2 linked regions of the Caenorhabditis elegans genome follow. The protein of the gene in region 1 interacts with the protein of each later gene in a pairwise test. Each region holds a gene or a part of one and is shown in the gene's direction. Other genes may lie near its edges. The genes, in order: cebp-2 and atf-4.

Region 1 (3,009 bases):
TAGAAAGGTAGGTCGCAGATCGTGACTTCTAGCTGAAATATAAAGTTGTTCAAGATTCTGTGAGCTATGTAGATTGTCTAACAACCTAGCTTCTCTGGGCTTCTCAAAGAAGGAAAGAATTTACAGATTGAAAATCTGGAATGCCCGAACAGAGAAGCCATTCCAACAACTCCCTGGCCTTCAGTCACACATCAACCAATGCCTGGATTGGTTCAGCAGGTGACTTCAGTAATAACTTTCAGATCCAAAGCATATTTTCAGATCCTTTCCAACTACAGTGAAGTCGAGGGATGCGTGAAAATATGTTTGAAAAACTACACTCTCGATGAAGAAATTGAAGAGACCATTACGACTCCAGTTGCATATATTCAAGGAGTTACTGCCCGTAAGTATTATATTCAGTCTTAAAAGGAGTTGAAGAATGTTAAGATTGCCGACTTCAAAACGTTGGAAAACCTGTGTTCCATTCTCATTCTACAACATATTATGGAAGCTGGATGAGAGATGCATACCCTCCAACCGGCGATGTAAGTTTGGGAGCTTGAAAATGGAACTGAAAAATTTGCTCACACTTTATTCAACTCTTTCTGTATGTATGTTCGTGGTTCATTTTTCGGAGGCGTTTTCCGGTCGAGACGTTCGGGCATGAAAATGCTAAAAAACCGGGAAAAAGTAAAAAAAAGTTTGGAAAGCTGTCACAAACCGAAACTCACTGGTTCGCCGAGTACTGGTATACTGTACATTATGAGAAAGGCATATCTCAACATATGTATATCTTGTTTCAGGACGCTAGAAAACGATACGTAATGAACCATTTCCAAGGCCACGAGCTCATCGAATTTAGGAATGAAGCTGAAATGCGACGGGACCATGTCGGAAAAGTGTATGGTTTTCTTTCAAAATTTTTCAAATATTTGAGAACTTTTTATTCTTTTTCAGCCATCGCCTTCCATATATATTCGATGGAACAAATCATGTTATTTTCAATGCATCTCTTTTCTATCAAAGAGCAGGATATCCAATTATTGCAAAATACGAGTTCAACTCGAAACAGTACTCACAGTTTGAAATACCGGGAGCAGCTTATCGTGGGGATCAGGTGAGTTTTGAAATTGTTTTAAGTCAAAGTTTCCAATTTCAGTACCTTTATAATAATTCGATGAATTATTTTGACTTGGCAATCGATGAAAATGCACTTTGGGTCATGTTTCACTATCAGGAAGAAGCTTTCTTATCAGTAGCTAAAGTAATTTTAAGTTGTTCATTGAAATCTATCTACTAGGTACTATTCCAGGTGGATATAAATAATTTGACAATTTATGAGGCATTCAACCTCACGACAGTAAATCATACAGATGTTGCAAATGGAATCGTCGTTTGTGGAACAATTTATTTGGTTTAGAATTTTTTATTTGATATCAAGCTTGACCAATAGCAAAATCAAATCAACATTATTCCAGGTGGAAAGTGCATCAGAACAATCCACGTATATCTCTACGGCATACGATTTCTACAGAAACACATACTCCCAACCTTTGATTAAATGGATTAATTTGTACAAGAACGCCAATATGATTAGCTATAATGCTTATGATAAGAGAATTTACATCTACGATCATGGTTATATGCTCTCTGTACCTCCACTTTTGCATTGGCTGGCTAAATAATTTGTGTAGTACATAGTTCATTTACTATATTTTAAAATAAATTCAGTTTTATTCGAGAAATATAAAGTAATTAATTTATCGTGAATATCGTGAAAGTAGCTCTTTCCTATATATTTTTTCAGGAGTTTTAGTTCCCCTTTCTCGAATTTCTGTGGTGTCTCACGCAACGACGCTCCGTTTTACACACTCGCGCGTACTTTATCGTAATTCCACAAAACCTTTTTTCCATCATTTTTCTATTAATTCCATAGTTTTCCTCGATTTTTTGTTGCAATTTCAAGCGATGAGTGGAAATCGGAAGCGAAACACATCAGAGCCTCGTGAGGACGATGAAGATGACTATTCCACTAAACGAAAACGGAATAACGAAGCTGTGAACAGGTAAAATTTCATTTTTAGCCGCTAAAATCTAATTAAAAATTCCAGAACCCGACAAAAAAAACGCCAGGAAGAAAATGACACTGCAGAAAAAGTAGACGAATTAAAAAAGGAGAACGAAACACTAGAAAGAAAGGTACTTGTTTACTTGATTTTTTAATTTTAATTAATTCCCTCTATCAGGTCGAGCAGCTACAGAAAGAGTTATCATTTCTTAAAGAAATGTTTATGGCATATGCGAAAAACGACGGAAATGATGGACCACCACCACCGCCACCACCATCTTCTTCCGCCGTGTAGATAACAATTTAATCAAAGATTTATCCACCATTTCTGTAAATTTTATACAAATAACTCAATTCACGCATTCCAATAACCAAAGAAAAATAAATTTAGAAAACGCTTTACTTTCTTTTTTAAACTGTTTTTTTTTGTGTGGTACGTTTCCAACAATTTATCTTGAATGATCTTATTAATTAACTTTTTGAATTTGTGTTGTATCAAAAAAAACGTTTCTTTCAGATGACCGAAACGGAGCAAGAAGCGTTTGCTGATTTAGTGGCAGAACTGGAAACTCAAACTGCAGAAGCAGTAAAAGCTTTCAGTAAAGTTTTCGATCGGATGGAGGAAACGAACGATGACAAAGAAGTGAAATGAAAACCTCAAGATTTATTCAAAAACTTTTTTATTTACAGGGGCTTAGTCTTCTGAAGCTGAAAAACTATGAAATGACAGCGTACCTTGGAGAGTTGACTGTCCTTATGTCGAAAATGATGAAAGGAGAGTCAATTACAGTAGAACCATCTGTTAAAAGAGCTTTAAAGCATAGAGTGGTATGTATTTTAGTATTCCAACTGTTCCTAAAAAACTAGTTTCAGTTCATTGAAAAAATGAAACCAGTCGAGGATAAGATGAAACCTCAAATTGAAAAGCTACTAGGCCGGTCAAGCGCCGAGAGTGGAGC
Region 2 (4,012 bases), on another chromosome or scaffold:
ATTATAAATATTAAGAAAAAGCAGCAATGAAAAGTTTCTGGCAGTTTAAGTGAGGCATGAAAAGTTGTTGAGATTTTGAGCATGCTGTTCAAGCACGGCATGATTTATAACGGAAGTTCAGTCGGGTGGAATGAAATTCTCAAGTTGAAATTTCTAACAAAAACGAGTTTGATCCAAATACGCAAAATTTTGTTGAATTTTGGAGTTTATTTAAGGTGATTGAAGAAGAAGACGCAGAGCCATACTGAAGACGTGGAGAAATCTGCAAACACTGCTCTTGACGACTCTTTGCATCTCAATGAACCTAATTCAAAAATTCAAAAAATCTCGGACAACTTTGACTGCACATTAAGGTGAATAACGTTTCGGACTAGAATTTTTAGTTGAAACATATTTCAGAAAAAGATCAAGCCTCGTGGAGAGCACCTATCGTTAACTGACGAAAGTTTTACCGTGAAGATGGAGGTGACACGTTATCTCTCCACTGCAGTAGAAACTATCAGTCCGAGAGATTTTTGGGTAAATTCTGTGACCAAATCATCATATCCACGCCTCTCCAAATTTGCTCGACGCTTTATCATCTGTCCAACTGGCTCAAGTGAAGCTGAGAAACTGTGTTCAACAGCCGACACGAGTCTTACTAAATACCGAAAAGCTTTGTCACCTGAGAATTTAAAATGCTCCTATTTTTGAGCAAAAATATTCGTCTAATGAATACTATTGATGAGCCAGAAGGCTACTTGGTTGACTGAAATTATTGATTTATTTTCTTTAATTTCTAACATGTTGTTTTGTTTAAACAGTTTTTTCTGATGTTTTTGTTGTCGGTTTTCAATAAACTGTTCATTTTTCAATAAAAATTAGTTGAAACAGAAAAATAACACAAATTTGAAGAAAAATATCCGAAATATCCAAATTGTCCGAAAAATATCCGATTCAAAAAAATTATTTTATTCGAAACAGCGAACTAAAGGATTAAAGGATTAAAAGACGATCCGTTCTTCAAGTGCTATGCTCTGCGGAACTGGGATTCAGGTAAACTGACTGGTGGTGATCTCACTGGGCTATAATTTAAGCCACATCCTAGCCTGGGACTGTGGCCGATAATCCTGTAGTGGATTGCTCCACTCTCCAATAGAGGCTGGTTAAACCTAGGGGGTCTTGAACTTCAACTCGTGATCTCCAGATTGTTAGCGGCGACCACTACCGACTGAGCTATCTGTCGCTAAAAATCTAAAATAACCGATATCCGAAATAGCGAATATCGGGAAATTTAGATAAGAAAGTTTAGAGAAGCCCTACCTTAATTATACCTAACTGTAAGAAAACACTCTGGGAGCTTTTTGAATTACTTACACATTTTATTAAAAATTAATCTGAAACTTTTTTCAATCCAAAGATCAGCTTAACGTCTTTGATATTTGAATTTCCTCCACTAATCCACATCGATTGATGACGTACGAGACCGCGAGAGATGCAGATAGCACGCGACAGCCCTGATAAACTAAGAGAAATAGTATAAGAAACGGGTGCGATCAGAGAACATACAAAAAATATCGAGCAAACGCCGGAGGTGGAAAAGATTGGGGGCAGCCAAACTACACCAAGCGCTAGTCGTCTCCCTTTCCTCTTCTGTCATTTCACAATCAACACATCACTGGACACATACAGCCACTTTCTCGCAGAAACATCTCATCTGAAAATTATGAACTTCAACATGAACTATAGCACCGAACCGTCTCAATACCAATCTTACGTCATCGCGAACGCTCCTTCCGCCACAGCGCCAATTTGTACAGTAAGTTCATTTAACTTTTAATTGATTAATAATTAGTTTAAACAATGATCCTTTCCAGGAAATCACGTGCTGTGTTTGTTGAGCCTACGGGTCATGCATACGGACAAAATGATTACCAACAAATGGCTTATGTAAATGAACAAAATCCACAGTTCTTGCTTTATAATGGGATGCACAATCAAACCCATTCCACCCCACAATATCATAACCATCATCATCATCACCATCAATCTCCGACATATCCTCAATCATATTTCAACCCCTACTCCCATCAATCTTATCAACAGCATCATTTGAACTCCGATGTCAACTTCCAAATGGTTCCACAAAGCACTTCGGTTCCACCAGATCCGTTTTGCTCAATTGAGCCAATGGAGACTAATGTACAAGCAAAAGTGAGTTGATAGTTCAGAAATTGCGCTCAGGAAATTTCACAAAAACAATTGCACGAAAATTCTGACATGGAAACTGTCTGTCTACTTGATAACGGAGAACCAATCGGGTTGAGAGATCAAAAATGATCTGCGGGAAGACTATGTTAAGGAAATATAGTTAGGTTGAGAAGCAACGGTGGTTTCACGTGAAATTCATGTGATTCAAAGCTATAAGGAAGAGGAAATGTTGTGTATGCTTTTGGTGTCAACGAATGCAAATATTTTAGTAAATGAAACCGATACGTTGCTTCTGGTAAAGTAACATTGAATAATGAACATTTGACTTTGAAAGGGGTAAAATTCAAATAAAACAACCTCCTAGCTTTTTAACTTTAGGGGTTACAATTATCTGCTTTTGCAGAAGTTTTTGAGTTGCAATCCTCTGGAAGTCTTTTGAAATTTGACTGAAACTTTAAAAAAACAATTCGGTATATCCGGAATTTTACATCTAAACATATGAAAAACTCACAAAAATGTTATTTCAGGAACAAATTCTCGAAGAAATCGTGCGCGAGTGCGAAGAAATCGAGCGTCGTTCCAACTCGAGCGCGTCTCCAGCCTCAAATTGGTCTTCAGATGAACATGACTCTCAATCCGAAAAATCTTACCACCCATACAAAACCCCAGAAAAGAAGGAACGAAAGAAGGCTCAAAACCGTCTCGCAGCTACCAGATACCGTGAAAAGAAGCGTCGTGAAAAGGAAGAGGCTATGACTTGCATTGAAGGTCTTAGTGTCACCAATGGCAAGCTGAAGGATCAGGTTTGTAAATTATGAAGAATTTTGAGGATTAGCTTTTTTTCCAGGTATCCGAGTTGGAGCGTGAAATTCGTTACTTCAAAAAGTTCATGACCGAGATGGGAATGAAAACTGTCACCGACTAAACCTCAATTTTTAATGTTTTTTACTCCGTTTGAAAGTTCAACTCATTTTATTATTATTAATATTTTCTAAACTTCATCCTTCCCTTATATTGTACGAATTGTGGATTTTTTAAAATTTCATACGCCAATGGTATTATTCTGTTCGTTTGCATGATATTAACCTTACTCTTCAAATAAAAAAGTATCTGAAACCGATAGATCTATAACTTATCACCAACACTTATAGTTGGTTGTAGTCAAATTGTAGCTTCTTGTTTTGTCATCATTTTTCATTTATTTTGTCATCATGACTACTAGTGAACTTGAAGCGCACGTCATTATTCCAACACTGGCGACAAACTCATATTTTAGCTAAAAACAATTAGGAGTGAGTGGAAAAACAAAAGTATATCGGGGGGAATCGGACAAGTCAATTTGAAATTTGGTTAGTGAAACTTTTCGAGTGGATCAGACTCTTTTAGATAGGAAAGTGTTTAGAAAATTCAAAAATATTTATTTCATCCGAAAATGTACGCTTTTAAAAAATATTGGTTTCATCCAAAAATATACGTTTTTCAAAATTATTTATGCTCCGAAAATGTACCGCAACTAAATTGAAAAAAAAAAATTTTCCGCAGCGAAATTTTCCGCGACGATATTTTGCCACGACAAACTTTTTCCGCCTCAAAGTTTTCAGCATCGAAATTTTTCCGGAGCATCGAAATGGCGCGGAAACGGTAAGTCAAACTTCAATATATATAATAAAAATAAAAAATATATAATAAAACAACTGTGGAAAAATTTCGAGAAACGTCGAGAAGTTACGTCACAAACTGTATTGAACAACATGTTTTTGAAGGCACTTGAATATAGCAAAAAGTGTATTTAAATCACTTTTCAATTTCACGAGACATTTTT

The links.
Region 2: the proteins of cebp-2 (region 1) and atf-4 interact in binary tests that used the Caenorhabditis elegans proteins (3 or more experiments, as listed by UniProt).

Annotation. Positions count from the first base shown.
Region 1 is NC_003279.8:6,251,134-6,254,142, forward strand, and holds cebp-2 (CCAAT/enhancer-binding protein homolog 2), read left to right. Parts: upstream 1-1,948; 5' UTR 1,949-1,950; coding exon 1,951-2,048; intron 2,049-2,093; coding exon 2,094-2,181; intron 2,182-2,228; coding exon 2,229-2,345; 3' UTR 2,346-2,451; downstream 2,452-3,009. Other genes in the region: cof-2 (Olfactomedin-like domain-containing protein), read left to right, coding at 127-219, 262-385, 430-527, 786-883, 940-1,099, 1,142-1,246, 1,295-1,396, 1,461-1,667; lpd-2 (LiPid Depleted), read left to right, coding at 2,568-2,693, 2,741-2,878, 2,924-3,009. UniProt on the Caenorhabditis elegans protein: Transcription factor that binds to the promoter and the enhancer regions of target genes. Regulates expression of genes involved in fat metabolism, including ech-1.1 and fat-5.
Region 2 is NC_003284.9:14,808,450-14,812,461, reverse strand, and holds atf-4 (Transcription factor atf-4 homolog), read left to right. Parts: upstream 1-1,798; 5' UTR 1,799-1,856; coding exon of another isoform or gene 1,857-1,880; 5' UTR 1,881-1,920; coding exon 1,921-2,193; intron 2,194-2,717; coding exon 2,718-2,993; intron 2,994-3,037; coding exon 3,038-3,115; 3' UTR 3,116-3,306; downstream 3,307-4,012. Other genes in the region: T04C10.3 (Coiled-coil domain-containing protein 96), read right to left, coding at 1-101; T04C10.11 (uncharacterized protein), read left to right, coding at 1,658-1,798, 1,857-1,880. UniProt on the Caenorhabditis elegans protein: Transcription factor.